Styela clava: one gene and its partner. The protein of the gene in region 1 interacts with the protein of each later gene in a pairwise test. Links are inferred from orthologs where the notes say so. Each region holds a gene or a part of one and is shown on either strand. Other genes may lie near its edges.

Region 1 (8,732 bases):
GTTATTATTTGCGCTTGGTATTACTTGGTATTGCGCTTGTTATTTTCGGCTTGCTTATTCATCAAGTCCAACATCCGAAAACAAATAACTTCAAAACGGATTAGGCAAGGATGCATTAAAAAGCCTTCCAGTAGTTTTCTGTATTTCAGTGTTTGTCCTTCGCGACCCACTCATTGGGAAACACTGGCCATCACCCCAACTCAGCGGGGGGCCACATCATGCTAAAATTGCTGATTACCCTACATGGGTTCGCAGGTAAGAATCCAATGTGACGATACTTCTAAGGGTGATCAACGTGCCCGCTGGTCGGTTACAGCTTCCTTCATCATCAAGTCCATGCCTCCGAAAACAAATAACTACCTAACTAAACCCATACCTGTCATGAAATGGTACCCGGACGAGAGATCATAGGTCGCCATATGATTTAGCCTTCTTATCGTCTTTTCTCTCCCAAAAAATAAATATATTTAAATCTTATTCTAACTTACAATAAAAATTAATTTTGGGGAAATAACAGGAAAGTCCAAAATGAAGATCTCACTTTAATATCATTCAAATGCTTCACAATATCTAAAGTTGTTTTGATCTCAGGAATCTGATTCTTCAATTTCTCTTTCTTATGATTCAACGACATCTCCATCATCTTGTATTTCTGGTAACGTTCCTCAAGTTTTTTCAAAGCCCCCTGAAATAATCAAGAAATGGATAATTGAGCGTGCTGTAATACCTTTGAAGTGGAGGGGAGGTCATAGCACAGTGACATATCTCTGTTATGTTCGCATGATGGAAATTAATGGGATTATCATTTTACTTACACGCAAAACCAAAAAAAGGCAATGTTTACAACCACGTTTGAATATCTGTCTGAGCGAAAGAAGTGTCTGAGTGGCGACATAAATTCCAATTGTTATGTCATTGTTAACTTATGGCTGATTTGTAATTGTTACGGGAATAAACAAGGAAATCAGAAACGGTTATAATACACCCAATAGAAGTACTATGGGTACGAAACTACACGAGAGCCGAGTTCATAGAGTTCTTGCTACAGTCAGACAGTATCTGCTATCGTGCGCAATCAGTGAATGAATCCACTAACATAAATGCGGAGAGAGTGGTAGTAAGATAGGTGTCAGTTCAATCAACCATACAACCATAGCTTACTGTTACCTGTGCTGAGGAATCAGGCTCTTCTGCCATGAATTTGTCTACATCTTCCTAAAAACAAAAGAGCAATGTTTAAATAAAGGTCATGGATGTAAAATCTGAAAATGGTCAGGTGATAGGATTAATATATTTGTCCCAGAAGAGAAGAAAGTTAAAAAGACGGCTCAATCATTTGGCGAACCACAGCCTTTGGCGAGATTACCAGTCCATGTCGGGTATGGGGTTAGTTAGTCAGTTATTTGTTTTCAGATGGACTTGATGGTGGAGGAAGGCAGGACCAGCCAACCAGCCAGCGATTACGTGAACCCCCCATGCTGCCACGGAGTGAGGAGTCCAGCAATTCTCTCGCACAGAATTATTACCACAGGGTAATTAGAGCTGCTGTGACGAGCGTATTTTTAACACTTAGCATGATGCCCACACGGTCGAGCTGAGTCAATTTTTCAGCCTGGGCAATAAGCTAACTTAACGCAAGATAAACAGGATGTCTTGATTCCTTGCCATCATATGGGCAGTTCACATAACTACTGGCAGACTGGTCAGGTATGGCTTCTTCCACCAGCCACCCCATGCATCTGAAACTAATACCGGCAACTGGCAGAATGCCAGTCTGGATTTCATGGCCTTTTCGAACGAGAAATCGGGCGTGCAATCAGAAATTCCCGCGTGCAAATAAGAATTTCTGGCGTGCAATTATAGCTCACGGCGTGCAAAACAACTGCGCCCGCTAAACTGATTTCGAACTAAGATACCTCTCAATACATCCGCGTAAAAATAAGTTGGATCATAGCAAAAATGGACGTTTGACCTTTGACCCCCAAAACATCATTTCTATATTTTGTCACTAATTTTGAGAGTGTTTGAGCGACTTTAGATACCGGTACTGTTCAGTACATCCGTGTAAAATTATTGTATTAAAAATACGCTGAATCAGAGCCATAACTGGCCAGCGTCGGTGAGGAGGCGATTTTTCTCACGGGATTCCTATCATTCAACACGATATGGTGATTTTTGCTTCGCATTTTTCGATCAGGCCAAATCTTGCAAGCAAGTATTAGTCGACAATTGTAAAGTTATAATTTTTTGGCATCTTTATATTACTAGATTATTGATTTAAAAACTATTTCAACCGATTTACATTGATGAGCAATTGCAAATTTTCGGCGTGCAAAATTGAATTCGCTCGCGTGCATTTTTGTGGAGCGCTAGCGCCCTCGGGCGTGCATCTGCCATGGAATCCAGTCTGGGCAGAATGAACTGGTAATGCAGTAATGGGACAAGAGACAATTTAAGAATTTGTTTTGTGTTTACAACTTTTGTAATTTAGTTTGAAGGTCTACCAGTCTCTAAGTTGGCAAAATTTGTTTCAAAACGTTACTAGTCCAGCAGTCTGTAAACTGTATGAATTGAGAACCGCAGAACCAGATCAATATTTTTTTAACGTTAATGGATCACGTTATGACTTATCGACCTTTAGATCGGTAAGTATGTTGATGTTAAGGTATGTTAAGGTATTTGTCTGTCTGTCTGTTAGATGCACGCGATATCTCACGAAGGTGTGGTTGAATCAGCTCCAAATTTTGCATGTGCGTTCATCCTACCTCAGACCAAAAGTCTATAGATTTTGGATGAATTATGTCGTATAATTAGCGACTTATTAATTAATTAGTGAGGGGACACTCGATGTCACTATAAGGTCATGAATCGAATCCGCAGTTTCGATCGATATGTCTTTGGTCTCTGACCGATATTCTCGTCTGATTATTATGTTAGGATAGGATTTACATATTTATCCCGGGAGAGAGGAAAGCCGATAAGACGGCTTATCTATATGGCGAACCACGGCCTCTCGTCCGATTACCATTCCAAGTCGGGTATGGGATTAGTTTTACTGTATTGTTTGTTTTCGGAAGCATGGACTTGGTGGTGGAGGAAGCCGTAACCGACCAGCGGTTACGTGAACCACCCAACGACGGCAAGGATAGGATAGGATTTACATATTTATCCCGGGGGAGAGGAAAGCCGATAAGACGGCTTATCCATATGGCGAACCACGGCCTCTCGTCCGGTTACCATTCCAAGTCGGGTATGGGATTAGTTTTTACTGTATTGTTTGTTTTCGGAAGCATGGACTTGGTGGTGGAGGAAGCCGTAACCGACCAGCGGTTATGTGAACCACCCAACGACGGCGAGGAGTCCAGCAATCCTCTCGCACATAACCATCCCTGCATGGGATTCGAACCTGCGAACCCACGCAGAGTAATTAGAGGTGCGGTGGCGAGCGTATTCCTAACGCGTAGCCCGTTGAGCCACACCGCCGCGCCGGACAGACACTGCTGCACTGAGACCTGGAGACAGGCAAACTTATGACTTACCACAAACTCTGCCTCCGGAATCCCTAGGTGAGCTTTCTTAGTTTCAGTCGCCATATTTAACTAGCCTTTGAAAACTTCCAATGTTCAAGTTCGTTTCCTAGTTTTCGACAAATCCAATAATAGCAAAACAGCCCAAAATGAAGACAATTTCTGACCGAAACTACCAAAAGGAATGGTCGGGACTTGTGAAGTCGCTATAACGACGAATCGTTGACCCAGTCATGCGTTTCGCGACCAAAAATAGTCATTTCAGCGAATGCCATAAAAAATCGTTTCGAATGATAAAAAAATACTATTTCTTAAAAAAATCATTTAGGATTTATTAGAGAAACATTTTTGTATCTGCCTAAAGCTATAGTTCAGGTACCTAGTTTAAAGTCCAGTTGACGAGTGAGTTGTTTTCACCTACATTCTATTTCACAAGATGAAATGGTCTATGTAGTATCTTTATGTCTCATTTTCCGAACTTCATTTAGAGATTTGACAACTTTCTTAAATTTCCGTCCTGCGTGTTTGTCCTATGAGCTGTTACATTTTGCGCCATGGACCTGTTCAAAATGAAATATATTAAGAGATAGCTGATCTTGACTGACTAAACTGATATTGCAACTAATGTAAAACTCCTCGGGAGACAGTCTGAATACATATATACTTGAATTTAGCAAACACAACTAAAAACTAACAAAAAGGTTAGAAAACCGCGGAACTGTGCCAATCTTTTCTTCTGTCCGCGTGAAAAAAGGTTGGAGAAAAATCAATTGTTACATCACCGTCAACCAATTGCTTATTGGCCATTATTTCGGAAATAACCAAAGGAGCCAGAAGCATCTGTTGTGAAAGCCACGCTGTAAGCTGGATGTTTGTGATAGCCATTATTCAGGCTAGAAATGATGAAAAAATTCGGGTAACAATTCTCTAGTTCATTTACAATGTCGTTAGAGGTTTGAATGTTTAATCGGATACAACACTGCCTGCGACGCAAGCTGTTTATTCAAGTAGGCTACCGGCAACATACGTTTCATTTTTTCATCAGGTCAGGATCTTACTTCTATGGGTGAGTTTATATTTACTCGTGTATTGATTAGATAAATCATTTTTAACTCCGCCACAGTGCCTAGAATGACGGAACACCGGGCGAGGATTCGAAAACCTAAAGGAGGCCGTCCGACCGTATGATGTAAAAGCTGATGTCTTTACAGTCTATCGTTTTAGTTAGTTCGGCTCGGCCAACAAGTCCTTGTGTCTGAAAACAGAAAATAACTGGCAAACTAATCCCATACCCGACATTGATTGGTAACCGGACGAGTGGCCGTGGTAGGGCTTCCCTCTCCCCGGGGTCAAATATGTAAAATCCTTTCCTATCCTAGCTAGATGTATGGGTTTGGTTGGAAGCCGTTACCGAACCACACTGTAAAGACAAAGAGTCCAGAAACCCTCGCGCACTCGAACATTATCAACCTTTACCCGGAAGCGTCATTTTCACTTCATTTTACATGCTGTTTGTACAAAACGCGTTTTTTGTGTGGTACGAGTGATCATGATCACCCCGGTGGGATTCGGACCAGCGAATCCCGCAGGGCAATTATTCATTGATTAATATCAAAGGCCGGCATATAAATTACCATTATCGCCCGAAAACTCGCCTCTGCGAGATTAGACAGTAGCAATCAGGTGTTGGAGTCGTATGTAAGTTGATTTGTGCAAAACGTAACTTCGGCAAAAGTAATTCGATCTGTAATTACCAAGTGTCAGTACTGTCAGTCAGTACTCAGTGTTACTTTGCATGCTGAGATTCGCTGACGTAGATGTCAGAAGATGCTTGCTAACACGGAAGTTAGTGACGTTCTTCGATTCAAACTTAATTCAACTCACTCTCAAATTTTCGTTTGAAACGTTGTCGAGTAGCTAGCTAGCTTGTAGGAATTGTCGATATGTCCAGAGTAGGGCTGGACGAATCTTCGAATGACGAATGGAATATTCAATAACAACAAATATTATAAGGTTAATTTGTCATTCCCATAACTAATTACATTCAATCTGTGCAATTCGCAAGCTGTGGAGCCTATGAGAGAATTTAAACGAATTACGCGTCCCCAGGAATTTAAATAATAACAACGTAATAATATATTGCAACGTATAGCTTTTTACATTATGCAATGGATCTAATTACAAGCATGTTCGTCTATTATTTGAAATGTTTTACAATTGCTATCAATGGCCTTCTAGATTTTAGTATAATTAGTATATCCATATCGCTTTATTTATTTATTGTATGTACTCGCTGTTTGATTAAGGTATGTCTTGTTTTGTCTTAAATTTCCATTAAACAGCAGACTGCCCTTTCGCTCTGGATTAGAAAGTAAACAGGAAAGGCCTGCTGCTAAATAACGAAAATATATATCTGCTTAGGAATTAAATGCCTCTTGTTATTGAGCGGAACGTTCTCGGAATCATTCGAACGCCAGTTTCTTGTACCAAAACTCAGCTTTGCCCCGCTCTGTCACTGACGGAGTTGATGAAAGTTATGTTAATGTGACAAAAATTTGAATGTAAAAACGTATGAGTCTTAGACACGTGGCACTCAAAGTTCGGAAAATCTTCTCACATAGCGCAACCTGGGTGAAATAGATATCGGCTTCAAGTAATAGATCAGAAGTCATAAATGAAAGAAACGACACCAAAATTACTTTGTTTTGGAGTATCGCGCTCTTGTTCAATGATATATTTGTGCCGCAACCTCCTACGGCAGACGAAGAATGTACTTGATCGTGAATTCAAAAGCATTCAACTTTTATATCAAACCCGCGTAAGAGGAAAGCTGATAAGACGACTAAATCACATGGTGAGCTACGAACTTTCGTCCGGATACCAGTCATGGGACAACCCGTCATAAACCTCTTTCGTCAATTTATAACACAACACGTACGCTAAACATGACCATTTTAAAATTGCTATTTAATTCAAGAAACTTTTAGAACTTAAGAGAATAAAGTAAAAATATGATAATAGAATCTCATAATGACATTACAACCAGAAATATACTTTGCCTAAATAGGCTATAAGTGATAGGGTGTCGGTGACACGCTCGATCGAGGTTTCGAACTAGAATAAAAAAAATATAATTATAGCTATAATTGGGTTAGACTTCAAGTTAGGAATGTCCTGCCATTTTTTGCGGCATATATCATGATTTTTCTTTAAAAAAGATCAGTTTAGATAATTTGTGATTGAAATTAATTCATTGAATACTAGACTAATCTGATGGCTCGGAAGAATAAAACTGTGTTTGCGTCGTAGGTTATAGATCTTACGTTCAAACCCCATGTCTACCCCCTCATCCAAAGAGTGTGGGCCCGTGGCCCCTAACCTTTTATTGGTCGTGCTCTCCTTCTGGAGGGGTTTAGCTCTCATGGTCCGTCCCCCTGTTTATCATTCCAATGGCATTTAAAGTATTATTTTAATTGGTAGGTTCCAAATCCTATTAACTTCAAACAAATCATGCTCAACAAAGTGAAAATACTCTGTGAAATAACATTACCAAGTAATGAAACTAATGAACCGGGGTTTTTTTTTTGAGGAAAATATAAAACAGGTTTTACGCCTAGCATTATAGCCGCCTTAAGGTTGCCACGGGCCAGGTTGACCGCTGATGTAGGCCAAACCGGAAAAAATAAGTAATTCAAAACAATAATAAATTTTTGCGCATCACAATTGACCGAATGTATACAAAGTAAAGCGTGAAAAATTTTCATAAAAATGTAGGTCAATATTCGGGTCGGATTGATTCGATCATAAAAGTGCTTCGTCATTGATAAATAATTTTAGTTTAGCAAGTCTTAAAATTGTGTCTTACAGAGTCACACAACTCTTTTATGAATGAAAAATACTGTACAGAATAATCAATGCTGAATGAAAATCAAAGGCCTATTTTGCGAAGAAAAAATAAATGATTTGATAATAAACATAGGATATGGAGTATGTGGTGAAAGTATTATTGATAGCAAGCCATGAAACGTCAGTAAGATTCTTATATTAATACATAAATATCGGTAAGGAACATGGGTATGTTAAAAATTCGAAAAAATTTAACCATAAATATTAAAACGAAAACTGTGTCACAAGGTCTATAAAATACACAAAATCATAGAATAATTTTTATTCGCATATATAATAATAAAATTAAAGTTAAAACAAAAAATGGTTTTCATCGACGAATTTTGCTAAGTAAACGAGATGAAAAAAAAATCGATGTCCGGACAATTTCTCCCAGAAATTTCTAAAACCAGTGACATTATTCAGAAAATTATTAGCAACTCCTGAATTATGTGAACCAAGATGGCGGACAACGGAACGTAGTATGTGTACCAAGTTAGGGTTAGAACATACTTTTATTCTAATTTTCTATATTTTAGTTCTATTACGAGTTCGGGGACTAGCCAAGTGACTCTCATAGTATTTGTACCTGGAATTATGACCTAGCTCTAACCTGGTACACATACTACATTCCGGTGTCCGCCATTTTGGTTCACATACTTCGGGAGCACCGCAAATTAATTTGAAAGTCTTTTAATATAGGTTAGGGTTGGATTTGTCGGGGAGAAATATTCCATAAGTGAACTATATGAGGGAAAAATTTTCCTAGTTCAAAAAATATTTGATGAAATGAATACATATAGATATGCTGGTTAATCTAACATAACATGAAAACAGAAAATGCATTTTTATTATATACAGATAGAAGTGTTTGCTTTTAAAGCTAATATATATCTCTAAACACGGCATAGATAAATTTAGTTATATTTAAGCATGGGGTTACAGTAATAGTTCTCAAACGGTGGTGCCCGCCACACAAGGTGAACGTAGACAATTTTTTAGGGGCGGGAAGTTGATTAAATAAAAAAATATTTGTTAGCTTTGATCTTATTTTGGATATTCACGTTCCATAACTTACCGCTCTTCTCGGTAATTACTGGACAATTGCTTTGAACTTTTCAGTGGTTAAAGATTTTATTTTTGGCTTGAAGGCTATTTATTACTTTTATTTGATTCAAAATTTTTTTGGGCTCTATGGAATTCGTTTTATTTTGTGCGATGACGTCATCTGAAATTGCGCACCTTGTGTCGGTTCCGCGTTTGCCTTAGTCGTGAAGATTGCCGCACAGGTAGTCTACTGTGACAGATTGCATACTCGTA
Region 2 (6,492 bases), on another chromosome or scaffold:
CCGGCCCATGGGCCGAAGAGGAGTCACCACTTCCACTCACATTGTTATAGCATTATTGAAACATGCATGCTTACTCCCTGTTTCTGATGAAGTATGGTGCAGTTGTGAGAAACTATGCCAGCATGTAGACATGACAGCATAGTATAAAATGATAAATATTAAAGTGAATAGTAATGGCAGAATAGGCCAATAATGATAATAGGCACTGCAAGTTGAACATCTCTGATTTAGAATGCTTGTCTACTACCCACCCATGTTTTGAATTGTGATAAATGGGTAAGCTATATCAGCGATTCCCAACCTTTCTACCTTGGCGGACCGGTAAAATTAAATAAAATATACTCGCGGACCGGCAAAAATTGAAATTTGTGGAACACAAAATAATAACATATATTTGTGTGATGTCGGGCAATGCTTTTTATAAAAAAAAGATACATTTAAAAACATTTCACTTGAGGAAAAACTATCAAATAATGTGCCGGCCAAAAATTGAAATGGGTGAAACTCAAATAATTAACCCCAGTGATAATTTTGCTACTGTGTCGTTTCCAATACAGGATTGCAAACGAGGCACCAAAAAAAAATTTGCAACACGTAGCTATGCAGCGGATCACAGTCAATTTATTTGCTTCGTTTTAATTAAAGCTAGAAGTGACTGGTTGAAAATTCGGACAACTGTTTGAATGCTCGATTACTCAGCGATGGGTATTCGTTATCAAGAGAGCTCAAGAATGAATTGTGACAATGATTTTATAAATCTGGACTGTAAAGTAGAGTTTTCATTGGGTTCATCATATCAATCCCTCTGCAGTTGATTGACGCCCCAAACAAAATGAATTTATATTACAATGATAGTCGTTGCTAACTTGGCCCCAGGCTTAAAATCATGCTGTGCATCACGCGGAAAATATCTCAGCGGCCCCCGGTTTTATTACGTGTCTTGTGACCACCTGCAGGGCCGCAACAAGTTCATATCTCGCTGAGTGTCATGGTAAAACTCTGAAATATTATACTGTTCTTGACAGTTTTCTGGTTTAAATAAAGAAATATTCATAACCTTTTATTTTGGCGGTAATATTAATCAAGAAAAGCATGCAGAGCGGAAAAAGCACGCATGCTGATTTCCAGGTTCCTGAATCTTTGGAGATTTGACGAAGCGCTTTCGCGATGAATCGGAACCGAAAAGTGTGATCACTCGGCGCCAAGACGTCGGCGGGCCATCCCGCACGTATCAAACATGAATATGACGGCGGAAGAAAAATTGCGTAATAAACCAACGTAACTTCGTCGTTTCGGCTTCGGTAAAGCGAATGAGACGGTAGAAAAACAACAAATTGAAATTTCCGCCGACCGGTAAAAATGCTTCGCGTACCGGCACCGGTCCCCGGACCGGCGGTTGGGAACCACTGAGCTATATTAACAATCTGAATATTTTGGTTTTTCCAATAACGAAGTAGACTAGATTCTTACATATTAGGGATACCGGTATCGGTACCGTACTTCTCTGAGAGCAGGGGTGTGTAACCTGCGAGCCAAATGCTGCCCACAAGAAAAGCTGATGCGGCCCACAGAGAAGTGCGAATTTTGAATAGTGTGCGGCCTGTGAAATGAGTTTTAAGTTAGTTTGATCCGGTATGTATGAGTAATTAATTCCTTTGCGTTGCAAAGTCTGTATCTGAGCTTGTGTGAAGCAAATAACACATGCAGACATGTCACAAGATCAATAACCAAAACTTTGGTGTCTGCAACTACTAGGAAGCCCATGTTTCACCCAGTTATTTGTATCTGGCCCTCCTATATTAAAGGTTGAGCAGCGCACCCCTACTCTAGAGCCTTATTGGAAAAGAAGTTTAAAACACCTCAAAGAAAAAATGAGAACAATTATATTAACCTTGCCCTTATAGTGATAATTTACACAAAGATTCAATATTTGAGATAATATTAGTAACTCAATGCTGTGTTATCATATTTTTTTTGAATATGGTCACACATGACAGCATGCTGGCATGAGCAATCTGCAAAGTGAATATCTTTGAAATCGGTATCATTTTTGATTGCTTTCATGACTATGAAAACCTAATAATTGTCCTTCTCAGATACAACTTAGTTGTTACTTGTTAGTGTGTGTTTTGAGTAGGTTTTGTTTCAATCTCAGCTAGCACAATTTTATTAGATGAATGATTGACATTGAAAATGTACAAAATTAATAATCACCGTCCACTAGTCAAAGATGAAATGCTTAGTAGGTCTACTATTTTTATTATAGGAACATGAACTAGTTGTGATACGGTGTGATCCTGAAAAAATGAACACATGAGTGTTTTAATTACTTTAATGAGTTTTAAAAAAATATATTTAATTTTGTTTCAGCTCCGATTTTTGTTTGTGTATGATTTTACCATAAAAGTTTCAGAATATAGTGTCATCACTTTGTACTAAAGTTTCGTTCTCTCTATAATATGTTTGAAGTAATCTCCTTGGCGTTTGATTTGAGCCAGAAGAGCATCCATTGTGCAAAATTGTCAATCATTCACTTGGTTTCCTGTTGAAGCGCACTTTCTACTTTTTTCAGTAGCAATGATAATGTTTACTCGGGCACAGCACCTCCGAAGGAAGTTTTCAAGAGACCATTACTCTCAGTAAAGGGCGCGGTGAAGGTAACCATTTTCCAACATGGCCTAATTGCTCCCTGATATTAGAGCTAAAAATGAAAGAGATCAAATGGTGAATACAGAATGTTAGATGGTCGTGCTAATACATGGATGATGGGTAGATGGATTGATGGTAGTCAACCCCCCACACATCAAATCACTGGCTGGGAGAGCGATTTCAAAAAAATATGATCAGCAGTGATGTCGGGTGGGCATCTCATTCATTGGCCTTCAACCTACGGATTTTTACTTTAAGAGTATTTGAAAGACAATGTATATCAGAACAATTATTGGTTAACTTAAGATTGCAATCGAAGCCAAAATTAGGGAAGAGGAGTGTGTAAGAGTGATTGACAATGTTGGCAACATATGCAAATATGTTTTCAATGTCGAGGGGGTCATTCAGATCACATTCCAGAGAGAACATACCTTTTGTGCATAATGCCCTAGATTTCTGAAACTTTTGTGTACAATGATACGCAAATGGAAGTTCCGAGTGTAAACAAAATTAAATAGTTCACTTCATTTTTATAAAAGTAATTAAGAAATTTATGGGTTCTGTTTTTTGTGTCACTCTGTATTTTATTATACTCATAATATGGATCAAAGAATATGTAGCTGTTATTGTTTGAATGTCCCTAATGGAAATGTCACTCTATATCGAAATATTTTGGTATCAAACTGCGAAGTTGGTACATTTTATCAAAGCAAGTAAACATTAATTTTTATTACTGACCTCATAAATGCCTACTACGTAATATCAATATGTATCATCAATATGTATCGGTAGCCATTGGCCAATTTAGTCACTAGTCTGATATCATGTTTTCTATTATTATCTGTAAGTTTATTTATGAGCTCAAGTTAAATTATAGTCTAGAAGTCATAGTCTCCTTCAGACAAAACAAAATATAAGTACAAAGCAAATATCAATCTACGATGAATATGATGTCGTTTTAATTCAAATGCTGGAACATGTTTTCACACAGATGGCTTGAGATGTCTTATTACATCCATTTACGTTCTATTGTACCCAATTGTTTACCTTTAGATCGTTGTTTGTTCAGAACAGATTAGAATCCATTTGTTTGATGTGATGACAAAGCCTTATTAGATTTCCGAGTTTTGTTCGTACAAACATGAGTCACTATAAAATTTTATTTAAAATCACGAAATCTAAAATGGCCCGTATTTGTTCAATTACTTATGTAATGCTTTGTGAAATCTTACAGGATGCCATATTTTCGTGTTAGTGTTTGAATATTGACAATGTGGTCACTTTACCTGAAGTGAAATTAAATCAAGTGAATTTCAGCAAACATGTCGGCATATTTCGTAATCCATAATAAAATTTATATGTTGTTCCATGTTTCAATTTCATTGTCCATTGACACACTAACTTATATGATATGCAGCACATATAAGTTGAGTTGTGTGATCTTTAGATTTTTTAGGTAGAAAATTTAGTTACTGTATTTAGGATTCATGCATTCATGATAAAAATAGTTATTACGTAAAACGTGTTACAATTGCTTAATTAATATTAATAATACTTGATATTTATAACATCTATAGTTTTATACCTTATAATGTGTAATGCTTTTAACTTTTAAGGAAAACACTGATTTTATTTTTTAATCCCATAATTTTATCTCTTTAGATATTTATATGTGAGGTAGATAAATTTAATATCCGAAATGGCTAAAGATCGTGGTGAAGCTGATGCAAAAGTAACATATGAAGACCAGAAAAAAATCAATCTATTTGCTAGGAAAAATGCACGATTCGTTGATCTCAAAGAAGAAATTGAAGCCAAGAAAAAAGAGCTGCAGAATCTTGAAGATGCATCGGATGACTTGATGCTTTTAGATGAAGATGAAGCAGGGCCTGTGCCTTATTTAATTGGGGAAGTGTTTGTTAATCATTCAATGGATAAAACACAAGAACTTATCGATAATGCAAAAGAAAATATTCAAGCTGAAATCAAGAAACTTGAAACAACTAGTTCAGAAATCAAATCGGTTATGGATGATCTAAAAGTAAAACTTTATGCAAAATTTGGAGATCAAATTAATTTAGAGCCTGATGATGAATAAGTTAATAGTAAATTAACAGTAATAGAATATAACATGCATGCTAGTAGTATATTTATTGTAAGGACTTCTGTTGTGCAGGGAAAGCTTGACAATGAGAAATTATCAAATGATTGGAATAAGTAATCAATTCTATGAAGTTTTGTCGTATTTCTGGAATATTAGGTGTTTTAAATTAATTATTTTCGCCTATTTAATGTTGCTGCTGAATATTAACTACCGGTATGTTTTCAATGATGCACAGGACAGGACTTATAATTTATAGTACACTATTCCATTATTAAGTGTATAATTCATTACTTTGTTATCAGTGTCTCAGTGACTTTCTGAAGTATTTTTAAACAAATAATTCAGGCAGATTAAAATGTTCAATTTATCTGGTGTATCGACTGTAGTAATGCATGAAGACTTCTTCATCAATGTATATCTAAAGCATTATTTTCAAGTTTTTCTGGAATTTTGTTACTTGATCATGCTTGAATATTGGCCATTATGTTTCCATTATGGGAATTTCTCTACTCATGCATTACAATTGTACACATTTTTAGGTCTAAGTAGTTATAGTATTCAGTAGAACCTTCAGGAATGAGTTGTCAAAAGGGAAACACACAAAGATCAAGACCACAAAAACATCAGAACCATACTGCATGGAAATCAAACAATACTAATCAGGTTTTGAAGGGAAGTCGAAATTTTACAAATAATGTTTGCACTAAATGTAAAGAACTCATTGAATGGAAATTGAAATACAATAAATACAAACCTCTTTCAAAACCAAAGAAATGCACGAAATGTGAAGGAAAAAATATTAAAGTTGCTTACCATATATTATGTGAAAATTGCGCAATGTCATTGAAACTTTGCTCTAAGTGTGGGACAGTGAAAGAAAGTGATGTTTCTGAGGAAGGTGATGCTGGAACACAGGTTGCTGATTCTTTATAATAATAAGAGAATGCTTGAATTCTAGTTCCCTTGCTATATAGATGACACTCTTTATTGTGTGTTCATTTAATGCAGAATGTATCATCAAGTAGATATTTAGGGATCAAGAATGAAGACCCATGTAGTTGAGGGGTAATGTTGATCAGTATAACTGCTTGTATATCTTATCACATGATGATTTTAATGACAATCCGCTGAACTCCGATGAATCGCAATTCTAACATTATTAATGTTTTGGTTTTTTGGTGATATCCTCATATATAACCTATCATTTGATGTGACTTGTGTTTTCCCACTAGTTAGGCTTGGTCAGTAATGGTATAACTGATAATACAATAATTAGGTAAAAATGTGTATATTTTGTAAATGTTTATGTTCATGTTTCCATTCATGAAAATCAATAAAAACAGGCATTATATTTTGTTTACTATTGCATCGCTCTATAAATGCACTCCTTGGCAAATGATCACTGGAGGCATAATGAGCTACTAGCTTACTATGCTTGAAAAGATCAAGAACTTACCAGTTAAACCTGGCCTGCGTATTTGGTTACATCCATAGTTTAAGTAAGAAGATAATTTATATTGCATCACACTCATTTTGCGCAACATTTAGGATTCTACTTCATATTAATTGTGATAAATTTTTTTGAGTTAAATTTTGTATTGTGTTCCATGCCTAGCAGCTTTCTGTGTAACTTTGTTTGATACTATGATTTGATCTATTACATAATTAAACTGTAATATGCTGCAAATTATTTAAATTTTAATTACAAATTGAAAACTGAAAATTAGAATGAGCATAGC

Evidence for each region.
Region 2: the proteins of prefoldin subunit 3-like (region 1) and prefoldin subunit 4-like interact in binary tests that used the Homo sapiens proteins (3 or more experiments, as listed by UniProt). The link is inferred for Styela clava from reciprocal best matches to the Homo sapiens genes VBP1 and PFDN4.

What each region holds. Positions count from the first base shown.
Region 1 is NC_135259.1:21,594,867-21,603,598, forward strand, and holds the start of prefoldin subunit 3-like, read right to left. Parts: upstream 3,727-8,732; 5' UTR 3,594-3,726; coding exon 3,540-3,593; intron 1,216-3,539; coding exon 1,168-1,215; intron 686-1,167; coding exon 542-685; intron 1-541. UniProt on the Homo sapiens protein: Binds specifically to cytosolic chaperonin (c-CPN) and transfers target proteins to it. Binds to nascent polypeptide chain and promotes folding in an environment in which there are many competing pathways for nonnative proteins.
Region 2 is NC_135255.1:7,781,665-7,788,156, reverse strand, and holds prefoldin subunit 4-like, read left to right. Parts: upstream 1-4,311; 5' UTR 4,312-4,348; coding exon 4,349-4,747; 3' UTR 4,748-5,292; downstream 5,293-6,492. Other genes in the region: uncharacterized protein C9orf85 homolog, read left to right, coding at 5,330-5,686. UniProt on the Homo sapiens protein: Binds specifically to cytosolic chaperonin (c-CPN) and transfers target proteins to it. Binds to nascent polypeptide chain and promotes folding in an environment in which there are many competing pathways for nonnative proteins.